Xenopus tropicalis: one gene and its partner. The protein of the gene in region 1 interacts with the protein of each later gene in a pairwise test. Links are inferred from orthologs where the notes say so. Each region holds a gene or a part of one and is shown on either strand. Other genes may lie near its edges.

Region 1 (6,927 bases):
ATAAGGAGTTACAGGGACAATAAGGCACTCAGGGGCGGGGTTACTGGAATAAGGAGTTACAGGGACAATAAGGCACTCAGGGGCGGGGTTACTGGAATAAGGAGTTACAGGGACAATAAGGCACTCAGGGGCGGGGTTACTGGAATAAGGAGTTACAGGGACAATAAGGCACTCAGGGGCAGGGTTACTGGAATAAGGAGTTACAGGGACAATAAGGCACTCAGGGGCGGGGTTACTGGAATAAGGAGTTACAGGGACAATAAGGCACTCGGGGGCGGGGTTACTGGAATAAGGAGTTACAGGGACAATAAGGCACTCGGGGGCGGGGCTGTTATTAGGGGGTTACAGTAACTCAAAGCAAACTGTGACAATGCAGAAAATGTGCTTAGGTTCCATGGATAAAGGATCTATATCAGCGGTTCTCAAGCTGTGGGTCGGGACCCCTTTGGCCTTTCACAGGAGTCGCCTAAGACCGTCGTAAAACACATTAGGTATATTTTAGGGTTGGGGGTCACCACAACATGAGGAACTGTATTAAAGAGTCGCGGCATTAGGGAGGTTGAGATCCTCTGGTCTATATGAGTGTGGTTGCAGAGAGGCCAGACATGGATGAGGGTGGGAATGTTACAGGGGAGCAGACGTTACTTTTACAATGTCTGGAACTTAATGTCCCAGTCAGGTGCACCTCTTCCTCCCCCCATCCCACTCTTGTGTTTTGTTTAAGGGCAATTAAGTGTAAAAAATCAAAACAGCGCAGGGTGGGGGAATGTCTGCAAAATCCAGCAGGGCTGCCAGGCATCTACTGTATGTGTTATAGGCACAACCCAACAGGCTAAATGTACTTTTCCATAAACTAATTAGTTCTATATTGTATTTATGTCCCTCTGTATATTAGAGTGTAAGCTCTGCAGGGCAGGATTCCCTTCTCCCAATGGTTCCCTCTCCCTGTATTGTATTTATGTCCCTCTGTATATTAGAGTGTAAGCTCTGCAGGGCAGGATTCCCTTCTCCCAATGGTTCCCTCTCCCTGTATTGTATCTGTGTCACTCTGTATATTAGAGTGTAAGCTCTGCAGGGCAGGATTCCCTTCTCCCAATGGTTCCCTCTCCCTGTATTGTATCTGTGTCACTCTGTATATTAGAGTGTAAGCTCTGCAGGGCAGGATTCCCTTCCCCCAATGGTTCCGTCTCCCTGTATTGTATCTGTGTCCCTCTGTATATTAGAGTGTAAGCTCTGCAGGGCAGGATTCCCTTCCCCCAATGGTTCCCTCTCCCTGTATTGTATCTGTGTCCCTCTGTATATTAGAGTGTAAGCTCTGCAGGGCAGGATTCCCTTCCCCCAATGGTTCCCTCTCCCTGTATTGTATCTGTGTCCCTCTGTATATTAGAGTGTAAGCTCTGCAGGGCAGGATTCCCTTCTCCCAATGGTTCCCTCTCCCTGTATTGTATCTGTGTCCCTCTGTATATTAGAGTGTAAGCTCTGCAGGGCAGGATTCCCTTCCCCCAATGGTTCCCTCTCCCTGTATTGTATCTGTGTCCCTCTGTATATTAGAGTGTAAGCTCTGCAGGGCGGGATTCCCTTCTCCCAATGGTTCCCTCTCCCTGTATTGTATCTGTGCCCCTCTGTATATTAGAGTGTAAGCTCTGCAGGGCTGGATTCCCTTCTCCCAATGGTTCCCTCTCCCTGTATTGTATCTGTGCCCCTCTGTATATTAGAGTGTAAGCTCTGCAGGGCAGGATTCCCTTCTCCCAATGGTTCCCTCTCCCTGTATTGTATCTGTGCCCCTCTGTATATTAGAGTGTAAGCTCTGCAGGGCTGGATTCCCTTCTCCCAATGGTTCCCTCTCCCTGTATTGTATCTGTGTCCCTCTGTATATTAGAGTGTAAGCTCTGCAGGGCAGGATTCCCTTCTCCCAATGGTTCCCTCTCCCTGTATTGTATCTGTGCCCCTCTGTATATTAGAGTGTAAGCTCTGCAGGGCAGGATTCCATTCTCCCAATGGGTCCCTCTCCCTGTATTGTATCTGTGCCCCTCTGTATATTAGAGTGTAAGCTCTGCAGGGCAGGATTCCCTTCTCCCAATGGTTCCCTCTCCCTGTATTGTATCTGTGTCACTCTGTATATTAGAGTGTAAGCTCTGCAGGGCAGGATTCCCTTCTCCCAATGGTTCCCTCTCCCTGTATTGTATCTGTGTCCCTCTGTATATTAGAGTGTAAGCTCTGCAGGGCAGGATTCCCTTCTCCCAATGGTTCCTCTCCCTGTATTGTATCTGTGTCCCTCTGTATATTAGAGTGTAAGCTCTGCAGGGCAGGATTCCCTTCTCCCAATGGTTCCTCTCCCTGTATTGTATCTGTGTCCCTCTGTATATTAGAGTGTAAGCTCTGCAGGGCAGGATTCCCTTCTCCCAATGGTTCCCTCTCCCTGTATTGTATCTGTGTCCCTCTGTATATTAGAGTGTAAGCTCTGCAGGGCAGGATTCCCTTCTCCCAATGGTTCCCTCTCCCTGTATTGTATCTGTGCCCCTCTGTATATTAGAGTGTAAGCTCTGCAGGGCAGGATTCCCTTCTCCCAATATTGTATCTGTATCTTAGTCCTGTGCCTCACATTTGACACCAACACTTGAGTGTGACTGAGAACACTACAATCCCAGCTCCATTGTATGTAACAAAGAAATATTGATCGATTTGTTCCTCAGTTACTCATCAATAGGTAGGGTAGGTTCTCTCAGCGGCCAATAGGAATTCAGGATTCATAGGACTCCATGATGTCTGCTGAAGGCAGGGTTACAAATAGACCCCTGCCGTACAAGTTCCAGCCACAAATGGGCAGATATGCTTGGAACCAATCTCTACAAACAACCCCCCCCCCCCACATCAGCCGTTCCTGCCCCTTACCCAGGGGTGTATTTAGGTCTAGTGCTGCCCCAGTGTGCGTGACATCCCATAGGCCCTGCCCCCTAGGCACAGACCCTCAGGTGCCTTATTATAAATATGGTCCTGCCCTTACCCCATTTCCCAACTGCCTAAAAGCAGATCTACCGAATGGGCTTGATGGCTGCCATGTTTGGGGGAAACAGACCAGCCCCTATCAAGCAATCAGCCCCCAGAAGTGCCACAACCAAACATGGTGGCCCCCAACCCTCACTGCCTGAATGTTCCGTCCAATGTTTGTCTATGACGTCCGTGTATCCAGAGACACTGGCGCAGAGCTAGAGATTAACCCGGACTCAAACTACATGTTTTACAAAGAGTTTAATTTAAGAACTGCCCCGCACCCCGCCGCCCAGTAGGGGGCAGTAGGCAGAAAGGACAGTGTGCAACTGCAATACATGTCAGCTCTAGTCTGCGGGGCAGTCATGCTCAGAACTTACACAGACCGTGCCATTCTCTTGGCTAAGGGGGGGGGGGGGGTTAGATAATATGGGAAGGGGGGGTTAGACAACGCATGAGAGACAAAAAGATTACCAGAAACAAAGGGAGCTCCAGGCTGAAAGAGGCCCAAAGAGAGAGGGCCATGAACACCCCAGAGACTGCTGAACTAATACCTCCTACTGCCGCATCTGGGGATGGTGGGAGTTAAAGGATTAGTTCTGCAAAGGGTAGAGACTCCCAAAGACTGCCAGGCATACAGAGAGACAATGTGAGAGACTGCCAGGCACAGAGACAAAATGACTACCGGGCACACAGAGACAAGGAGAGAGACTGCCAGATGCACAGAGAGACAAGGAGACTGCCAGACGGCCTGACAGACTAGAGGAAGAGACTGCCAGACACACAGAGACAAAGAGAGAGAATGCCAGATGCACAGAGGGATGAGGAGAGACTGCCAGATGCACAGAGGGATGAGGAGAGACTGCCAGGTACACAGAGAGACAAGGAGACTGCCAGACGGCCTGACAGACTAGAGGAAGAGACTGCCAGACACACAGAGAGACAAGGTGAGAGACTGCCAGGCACACAGAGAGACAAGGTGAGAGACTGCCAGGCACACAGAGAGACAAGGTGAGAGACTGCCAGGCACACAGAGAGACAAGGTGAGAGACTGCCAGGCACACAGCGAGACAAGGTGAGAGACTGCCAGGCACACAGAGAGACAAGGTGAGAGACTGCCAGGCACACAGAGAGACAAGGTGAGAGACTGCCAGGCACACAGAGAGACAAGGTGAGAGACTGCCAGGCACACAGAGAGACAAGGTGAGAGACTGCCAGGCACACAGAGAGACAAGGTGAGAGACTGCCAGACGGCCTGACAGACGAGAGGAAGAGACTGCCAGACGGCCTGACAGACGAGAGGAAGAGACTGACAGACACACAGAGAAATAAAGTGAGACAGCCAGAAAAACAAAGGCATTCAACTGTCCAAGACAATAGAAATAAAACAAACGAGAGGGAGGCTTAAAGGTCAGGTCCCCTAAATCCAGTTATAATAAATAGACGTAGCCTTGGGGTGATTAGGAGTTACATGGGTGGGTGCTGGTCAGGGAGCCCCCCTCCTGTGTGAGTAGTGCCATCCAGCCAGTCCGACTCTTCTCTATAAACAGCTGGAGGGTTTCTGAAATATCGCCCCCCGTGCCGCTCTCCATGCCTACTTCCCGCTGGGGGGCTTGTAGGGTTCCAACAGGAGCTTTGAGAAGGTGTTTACGTTTTCTGCCCCTCGAACCTCGTGAGGAAGAAGAGGGAGCTTCGCAATGTGGAAATCTTCATAGAGATCCTCCATCTGTAACGAACCAATCAGATAATGAGAGGCAGCAATGTAGGTCTCATACATATGTCTGTCACCCTGCAGTGGGAAGGACAGACTCCGTGTCCCATAGCCCCCTCCTGTCTGTGTCACTGTATCACCCTGCAGTGGGAGGGGCAGACTCCGTGTCCCATAGCCCCCTCCTGTCTGTGTCACTGTATCACCCTGCAGTGGGAGGGGCAGACTCCATGTCCCATAGCTCCCTCCTGTCTGTGTCACTGTATCACCCTGCAGTGGGAGGGACAGACTCCGTGTCCCATAGCCCCCTCCTGTCTGTGTCACTGTATCACCCTGCAGTGGGAGGGGCAAACTCCGTGTCCCATAGCTCCCTCCTGTCTGTGTCACTGTATCACCCTGCAGTGGGAGGGACAGACTCCGTGTCCCATAGCCCCCTCCTGTCTGTGTCACTGTATCACCCTGCAGTGGGAGGGACAGACTCCGTGTCCCATAGCCCCCTCCTGTCTGTGTCACTGTATCACCCTGCAGTGGGAGGGACAGACTCCATGTCCCATAGCCCCCTCCTGTCTGTGTCACTGTATCACCCTGCAGTGGGAGGGGCAAACTCCGTGTCCCATAGCTCCCTCCTGTCTGTGTCACTGTATCACCCTGCAGTGGGAGGGACAAGCTCTATTTCCTACCTGGTCCAGGTATTTCGATTGGATCTTGTGCCTGGCCTCACACATCCTGCACGGTTTCTCTGGCTCGGGAAATACCAGCTGGTTGACTATAATGTTATGAGTGTCTATGCTGCATTTGGCCAGCTCCTGGATCAAGCGCTCGGTCTCGTACAGTGACAGGAACTCGGCGATACACACGCAGATGAACGTGGTCTGCTCCTGTGCGCAGGAAACAATCATCCAATTGTTACCATGACAATTCTAAAAAGCTGTATAGGTCAGACTAAAGTAGAATCTGCCAATCAGTGGGACCCTAGATGATTTTAAATCAGAACCCTCAGCTAGAAATCAATGGGGCTTTTATAAATAAATCTCACATTGACTTTCCCTTTCAATAAGACCCTATGGCACAGCGCCCTCTATCTTCCATAGAGAAACAACGCAAGCTCTGAATGCTCACCGGATCTTTGAACTGCTCGCTGACAGACCGGATCACGGGAAGCGTCTCCTCTAGCTTGGAGGCCAACTGGTCGGCGTTCATATCGCCAAGTCCCAGCATGTTGCACATCTATGGGAGAGCGGAACAGAATGGGGTCAGGCAGACGAAGAGACAAAAGGAACTTGCCAGGGAAAAAAATATATGAATTAAATATTGGAGGGAAAAAACAACATTATTATTCTTCTTACTTATTAAAGGGCCACAGGATGTATAATGGCTGTATGGAACAGATGTGTGAGAGTATCCTTTATTTATATAGCACCAACATACTCCATAGCACTGTACATGGAACATATATCATTCCCATCAGTCCCTGCCCCAGTGGAGCTTACACTCTAAGTCCCTATTACATTAGGCTCAGTTCTATTATGAGCCAAACAAACTGCCTTCCTCTCAGTGCAATGAATGAGTCGGGTCTTTATGCCTCTAGTACAATGGCCCCCCACATACCCCCCACTACCTGCCTTTCCAGTATCTCACCTGTGATATAAATGGGCTGATCTGGTTCTTGATCTGCATGAGGCGCCCCAGGCCTCGCTCTACTATGGTGGGGAAGTTGAGCAGACGCAGGGTGTGTCCAGTGGGAGCCGTGTCAAACACCACTACGGAGAAATTCATCCCTTTCACCAGCCTGTGGGTACAGTCACAACTTAAATATATGTACATATGTGTTAGCAATAATGCCTCCATGTCCCATAGCCCCCTCTTGTCTGTGTCACTGTATCACCCTGCAGTGGGAGGGACAGACTCCATGTCCCATAGCTCCCTCCTGTCTGTATCACTGTATCACCCTGCAGTGGGAGGGGCAGACTCCATGTCCCATAGCTCCCTCCTGTCTGTGTCACTGTATCACCCTGCAGTGGGAGGGGCAGACTCCATGTCCCATAGCTCCCTCCTGTCTGTGTCACTGTATCACCCTGCAGTGGGAGGGGCAGACTCCGTGTCCCATAGCCCCCTCCTGTCTGTGTCACTGTATCACCCTGCAGTGGGAGGGGCAGACTCCATGTCCCATAGCTCCCTCCTGTCTGTGTCACTGTATCACCCTGCAGTGGGAGGGGCAGACTCCATGTCCC
Region 2 (8,065 bases), on another chromosome or scaffold:
ATATGCACAACTTAGCTAGTCTAATTGCCTAATCTGCTTGCACATGCAGTAGCATGTAAAAGTTGAAGCAAATGCAGGCATTGTGTGGCAGAAGTTCCTACACAATGTACTATTTCATCATTAGTATGTTAGCTGTTGTTAATTTTACAGCCTTCCTAAAAATTTAACCTATCATACAGTTCCGAGTGGGCTGATTTAAGCATTGTGCTATAGAGGTGCTTATTCATGGGTCCTCTTGGACCCCTTATCGTCCACCCCGGTCAACTTTTCTATAGTTATTAAGAGATTTTACCAGTCCAAAGGTTCAGCAGCTTATATCAGTCTATACCTTCACAATTTTCCAAAACATCTCGACAGATTCTGATATTGTTGGGCCCTTGTTCTTTGTGTGCCAGTGACTCTGCACAGGCTCAGTGTGCTCTGGGCTCTGGTTAAGAGGAACTGTATATAAATATTAGCAGAAAGTAATGTTATATTTCAATTAGGTGATGCTACAAGGCTTATTATTAATTCTGATATAAAGGGCAATGGTCTCTTATGCTGCCACATACTGTGAATCTGGAAAACAATTGTATTGAGCAGAACAGGGAAAAAAAATGTGGGGTACTAAAAGAAGATGAACTTGAGAGTCTTCAGGGAGAAGTAAAAAAGTAAAGTTAAGGAAATAAAATAGAAGGAAAGCTGAGGGACATGTAGGTGAGCTGTGTAGTGGGCTGAGACTGGAAGTGGTGCAGGCTTTGCAGGGACTGGAAAAAAGCAATTGCACCAACTGACTGAGCCCAGCAATCTGTGCCAGAACTGTTATCATTTCATCATTTAAACATTTTTACAAAACTAATACATTGATAGTTAGTCATGTTCACCTGCAGGTATGGGATGTGTTATCTGGAAACTCATTGTCCAGAAAGCTCAGAATTATGAGAAGGCCATCTCCCATAGACTCAATTTTAATCAAATTACTTTTTGATTTTTAAAAATATTTTTTTTTTCTCTGTAATAATAAAACAGGACCTTGATCTTGATTCCAACTAAGATATAATTAATCCTTATTAGATGTAAAACAATCATATTGAGTTTAATGTGTAAATTATTTTTTAGCAGACTTAGGGGCTGATTTACTAAGACACAATTTCGAATCCGAATTGGAAAAATTCCGATTGGAAACGAACATTTTGCGACTTTTTCGTATTTTTTGCGTTTTTTTTTCGGCGTCTTTACGATTTTTGCGTAAAAACGCGAGTTTTTCGGCGTCTTTACGATTTTTGCGTAAAAACGCGAGTTTTTCGTAGCCATTACGAAAGTTGCGCAAAGTCGCAATTTTTTCGTAGCGTTAACACTTGCATGCAAAGTCGCGCCTTTTTTGTAGCGTTAAAACTTAAAAGTTTTAACGCTACGAAAAAATCGCGACTTTGCGCAACTTTCGTAATGGCTACGGAAAACTCGCGTTTTTACGCAAAAATCGTAAAGACGCCGAAAAACTCGCGTTTTTACGCAAAAATCGTAAAGACGCCGAAAAAAAAATCGCAAAATTACCGATCATTACGAAAAAAACGCAATCGGACGCATTCGGCCCGTTCGTGGGTTAGTAAATGTGCCCCTTAATGTATGGAGATCCCTTATCTGGAAAACCACTGTCCCCGTGAATTCTGGATTAAAGGTCCCATACCTGTATATGCAGACATTTATAGCTTATAAAATACACATTTTAAAAGACAATACCTCTGCAGAATACAGTGGTACAGCGCATTTGTTAGTATGTAGATTATGCTGTGGGAGTCATTGACCCTACAATGCACAAAATATCCCCACACATGAATATTAGATATTAAAGTGACAAAGTTCAATATATGTAATTTATAAATAATAGTAAAAGTATAGACGGAATAAAATCTGTTTGTTTTCGTTTTTTTAAATAATGGATCTGGACTCCTACTGCATCTATGCATGTGTGTAAAAGATATAGATCTATATAACTAACCGACAAATAAGAATGATCAAAACATAGTGGCCCTTTAACACCCTGCTGGTTAATACCCCGTTTCTTTGCTGGTCAAGCACAGTTACAGTTTACCTAGTGCCTGTGACCACCATTGCACAATTGTCATTTGAGAGTAGCATGTATTTTATCCCCAGTTTGTTATTAATGGAATAAATTTACTTAAGCTTGTATTTTTGTGGTTTGTGTTTGAAATATATGTTTATTCTGTAAACAAAAGGAGAAGAGCCAGGAGGATTAGCCAAAACAAAGACAAAAGGTATTTTGCACAGTGATTTCTTTGTGTTGTATGATTTTGTGTGAGTTTTACAGTATAGCGTGTGTGCTCTTACTGACTTAGAATGCACTCTACAGATCATACAGATCATTGATGTTATTAACATTATTTAGTTTTTATTTGCTTGTCCTTCCTTTTCCAAATCACCAGGGTTAGAATCTTTTAGCCTGAAATCACCATGATTTTAGTGGCATACACTCCCATGGATGTGAGGCTTTTGTTTTTTTTCAGTTTGCTGGGGACATTAATTTATACCTGCCCTCCATGCAATTTGGTTTTATCTTTAACACTGTAGAAATCAGTAAACAATAATATAATCTTGCACAGACTAAAACTCAAAGTAAATGGACAGCTTACAAAAATCTACTGAAATGAAATGGAATTTGGTGTTATGCTGGCCATATATTGTAACATACGCTCGTATGGCGAGGTTGCGAAAGGAGCAAATAATTCTCCGGTATGCTCATCATAAGGTAGGCTTATGCCCAAACAAGCAGATCATAACAATGGGTATTCAGGCCATCAGGGCATGGGCTACATCCACGAGCCGATGCGGTCCTCACTCCAATTGGATTTCTGTTAGGTTGTACAACATGCTGACTCAAACGGAAGAGGCTGAATCAGAAGCTTAAATCTGCCTGTGTATGGCCTCCTTTTAGACTAATTACCCAGATCATGTGGCATGTGTGCTATTAAATTAAGAGTAGGTTTTATTTGAATACGTAATTGAATATGCAGTAAGGGGCAAACTTGCACAGCAGTGTTTTATTCATAAACCCTTGCAATAGTGCACGAAGGGGGAGATTTATTAAGACACGAATGCTCGGAGCGTATTTTCGGCAACTTTTCCGTACGCTTGCGTGAAAAATTCAGAAAGGTTCTGCCGCTGTTTACAATTGTTTGGTACGAAAATGTTGTGACTTTCGGATCGCCAATACGATATTATCGTGACTAATACGATTTTTTCGTAAGCATTTTCATGATATTTGCGATCTTCAGAAATTATCGTATTTAATCCGAATTTTTCCCATTCGGGATTCGAACTCGTGTTTTAATGAATCGGCCCCTAAGTCTTGTGAGTCAAACTGTTACATTTGTTCTTTATTTGACTGTGTTCAGAGTTTGGCTAATGAAATATTTAAGCAAGCAAATTAGATGTCCCTAAACTCAAGGGACTGGAACTGTGACCTGGAAATGTAATTGGGTGTAGTAAATATTAATGCAGAGAGAGTCTGCAAGCTTACAGTGCTGATTCCAATTAGAATCCAATTAAAATGGTGAGAAGTGTTAGGAGCCATAGAGTAGATCGGTCTATTTGGACATCACCTATTTATCGATGACAGAAGAGGAGGTCCGGAGATATTATAGACTTTTTTACTTTGAGTCTAGTCAAGTTAGGTTTTTTTTTATTTATAAAGCACCAACATATTTTTCACTGATGTAGTAATTATCAGGTGTATCAAGAGTAATATTACAGAGTAGAAGAATAAACCTGTAAAATTAGTCTGGTCTCTGTAGTCCTTTGTAGTGATGAAAGCTTGTGGTCTTTCCCCCCCCCCCCCCAATGAACATACAAGTATAAAGATGAGCACTCAAATGCCCACACTTTTTCAGTCATACATTTGTGACCTAATGAAAGTATTGCATGTGTATCTGTGCCTGTCTCCAAGAAGCTATGACATTATTTTATTTAATTATTTTCACATTTATTAGAGCTTGGAGTAAAGCATGACTTTTGCACTGCATTGTGGCAGAAGAATGTAAAATTTAAATAATTATCAATAGATAAATTTGCCAAAAAAATGAGTGTGCTGTTATACTAACAGTGAGAAGCAAAATGCATTGCTAGTATGGCATGTTTAAAAGGCAAATCATTTTCATAACACATACACAGCAACAGTGTTATGAGCTATTGAGCTGATGCTAACCTTGCCTGGACTTACACTTGCCTTATTTCCACTTCTAGTTACAGCTATTAATATGTATTTATGATAGGTTGCTATAGTTTTGTCAAGTTGGATTCATGTACAGTCATTTTTTACCAAAAAATACAGTGACCTAACATTAAAGGGTAACTCTGGCTTCCGAACCAAAATTTGTGAAAGAGACCCACACAACACAGAAACCCCTAATATACCTATCACTGTAATCTGTTAAAGTATGAATAAATAACATTTTGCTATGCTGGAATCTAGCTGCAAAACAGTTCTTCTCTTTCTGCATCATTTGAAATCCAAGCAGGGGAGACAGGACTAAAACATTGATGTTACAATTATAACAACAACTCTACAGCTTACAGACAGCAGAATAGTTTGCATCTCAAAGTAGTCAGCCAGATCAGCAGGAGAACAGGGGGCTAGGCTTAGGCAACTGTTCCAAACCATATTGTTACATTTAAAAATCATGTAACTGCTGCATATTTTTTATTGATGTATATTGCAAAGTTGCTTAAAATTATATTTTCAAAAAGCTTAAGTTATGTTTGGGTGGTGTTCCCCTTTAATGTAACATTACTTTTTTTAAAGTCTACAGGATGCAGGTTTTTTACATTGCCTTTTGTATTTGGGGGAAACTAAAACAGGCTTTTTATGGCTTTATGTTTGTGGTACCCAGTTGTGTTTGTCACACAGGCTTTATATAGTTATTTGTTTTAAAATTTTGATTGGATATTATCAGGTAAACTACAGTGTTTCTGTGACTAATACAGACCTTGGGTTTCTTTATTGTTCTTAGTTGCTGATTTAACTAATACTCCTTTCTATTTTAAACATACAAAATATCAAGTTAAAGAGGAAATTAAAGAGCAACTTAAAAAGGTGAAAGAAAAAATTGTAGTTCAGAAAAAAGAGCCAAAGGTTGCAGAGAGGAAAAAGCCGGTGAAAGAGACAAGTGACAAGGCCAGAAAACCACAAGAGGGGGGCAGACCCAAAAAAGAGCAGGAAAGGGATGAACCACGCCAGAAGAAAGATGAAAAACATAAGGAACCCGTGAAAAGGACCACGAGTGGGAAAGCAACTGAACGGGAGAGGGGGAAAAGGCCAGAGAAGAAAGAAAACAAAGATTCAAAGAAAGATGACAAAAGGAAATGAAGCTGCTGTACTAACCCCAGCAGGACGTACTGTAATGTTTCCAGCAGCTTCTCACACAATCTCTGCACGTGTGTGTGGAAATGCACTTTACCATTTGCCGAGAAGCTGCTTCGTTATAACACTAATTGCACTGACTGCTTGAGTAGGCCAAGAAATGCAAAACAATGTTATAAGGGTCTCCTTTAGACATGTACATAATCTACTATACTGTGCTGCAAATCGTGTGCATCTTTATGCCAAAGGATTTAAATGCAGGCTTCTAGATCAAAGCTTTGTTTAGCCAACAAAGCATGTGCAAAGCCAACAAAGGATGTGCAGCTTACCCTTGCTAGGGTTCTGCTTTCATTGCAAGAGAGACAGATTAGTTGTATGTGCATTAGACTAAGTAGTGATCGCGCAAACTGTGATGCTTTCTTAGTTAAACAATCCTGTAACTAGAACACATGCTTCAGTTTCAGAATAAACAGTCATTGAAATGTTGTGCTTGGTTTCTTGAATGAAATTTGTCACAAGCTTGCTTATCTTCCAAATCTGAGTTTTGGTCTTTCAGTTTCATGTTGCATCCTAAAGAACATTTTATTAACAGAAATATAAAAAACACATAGACGTATTGCTACTCATATTGGGGAGAATACCCTAAAATTGGTACGGGAATGAGAGGATGGCCAGAAAACTTGCGGATTACCGAAACCATCTTCGTTTTAACCTACGATGTTGGACCGAGAGGACCGATGGTTTGAAAGAGGCCATTTATGCCAGCCTGGAAAAACCATCCCTGAACAGAGGAGGGGGCCTGCGACACTGCTTGTTATCTTTCTGGTGTTTTCTGTTCAAATTCAGAGGGTATGACACATTTTTAGTAGTGCAAACATACTAGATAGTTTTGGTGTTTTTTCCCACTATGTGGTAGCACTAAAGATATTGTTTGGCATTTTTTTTTTTTATGGCAAAATTTCTGGTTTTATACAACATGATAGTATTTTGTATGTTTGTCACATAATTTAACATAACTTCATATGTAATAAAAGGCACAGAGTTTGCCCAAGTGTAGGAATCCCTAGCAACTAATAGTAAATTTTCTTTTAAACAGATGACCAGTAAATACGAACTATTTCTTTGCTAAGGGTAACAAGGTTTGTAGCAAGCTTAACAGATTTTATCACATTTTGAAGAACAAGCTTCAGGCTTTTGTTTTAATGATCTGCTGTTGAAGACGTGACCACAGTTCTCATCCGAGCTCATCTCTGTGTATTTGCTTGAAAGTAGATGTTATTGATGATATTGGTTGAATATAATAGTTACAACACATGGTTAATATGAATTGATGCTTTGATGACATGAGCAAACAATGGCATTATTTTAATTGTAGGATTAAGGTAAACATATGGGGCATAATAAGCAAAGTGACAAGTAGCAGTAGTTTTTTTTTTTTTTTTTTTTTGCGTTGTATGCAAAATTCCTTCTATTCATTTCACTAAATAACATATTGTCACTATGCTGGTTATCAAACAATGAATTGTGGATGCTTATTAAAGTCCTATAACTGGCATACACAGGGTTGAAAGAAAGGTCTGTTTTGGTGCCACCTGCTGAAGACTCTGAAGATGACCATCCAGCAACACAAGCTACAGCTGAACCAGGTAAGCGGTTTCAGAAAGATCCAATAAGAAGGCCATTGATGCAAAGGCGTCCTATATTTTCCTCTCATAATCTCTATACAACGTGGTAGATAAAGGAAATAAAATAGAGGGATAGGAGTGCATATCCACAGAGTATCAGACATAGTACATCAAGTAATCTGTTTGGCTCACAGCTATAAGGCTTGCATATCAGCCTATAGTTTTAAGCTTAAAAATACACTCACCTGTGCATTCCTGTCTCCAGTGGCCACTGAAGAGAAGTAGAGACACTCTGCACATCCAGAACTTTTTTACCTTTTACCCTAGCTTGGCTCGCCTTTTCTTTAAAGGAGAGCCACTTGACTACCTTTTCCTAGCTCTATGGTGGCGGTTGGCAACTAGGAGTATGTGCAGTTGTACAATACACGGGAGCACTTGCCAGATTGGTTTAGCTGCAACAGGATGTACCATGCTCCTACGTCTTCAAGCACCCCCGATCCAATCGCAGCTTAGCCAATATCAATAGAAAGTAGACGGAGCACCGGAATCATCATATCCTTAAAAAGTCACACTACTACGGTGCCTTCCAGCAAATCCATTCCGTTGGTGTGTATATTTAAATTAATTTGCTGGGAGGCACCGTAGTAGCTTCTGATGAAGTGGCGAGAAGCCATGAAACGCGTTAAGCTGTTGGTGTAAGACTCTGAGATATTTTGAATTGACCCAATACAAGTGACTTTTTAATGAAAAGGTGATTCCAGTGCTCTACTTTCTATTGATATGTGCAGTTGTACTCAGGACTAGGTCAGCTTCAACTGCTCAAGCTTCTGACTGCCAAAGAACAGTGGTTTGTTGGCCATGCACAGCCTTGTTCACTTGTTTGGCTAGTTTGCACTATGACCACCTGTGTGCTGGGCCAAGAGTGCTGATCCAAACATTGGTTGAAGGGGACAAGGACTGCATCATCGTGCCAATAAGGTTTTTGTCCAGTGGGATTTTTTTTTTTTTTTAAACTTGCCCAAATGATATTTAGATGACCAGTTTATTCTAAAGGCTAAAAAAAAACATTTCTGCTCCAAATCAG

What was found.
Region 2: the proteins of get3 (region 1) and asph interact in binary tests that used the Homo sapiens proteins (3 or more experiments, as listed by UniProt). The two-hybrid records come from large-scale screens. The link is inferred for Xenopus tropicalis from reciprocal best matches to the Homo sapiens genes GET3 and ASPH.

What each region holds. Positions count from the first base shown.
Region 1 is NC_030679.2:140,435,888-140,442,814, forward strand, and holds the end of get3 (ATPase asna1), read right to left. Parts: intron 6,486-6,927; coding exon 6,335-6,485; intron 5,924-6,334; coding exon 5,816-5,923; intron 5,575-5,815; coding exon 5,377-5,574; intron 4,715-5,376; coding exon 4,583-4,714; 3' UTR 3,231-4,582; downstream 1-3,230.
Region 2 is NC_030682.2:117,475,371-117,483,435, reverse strand, and holds the end of asph (aspartyl/asparaginyl beta-hydroxylase), read left to right. Parts: intron 1-2,216; coding exon 2,217-2,255; intron 2,256-5,057; coding exon 5,058-5,362; 3' UTR 5,363-5,838; downstream 5,839-8,065.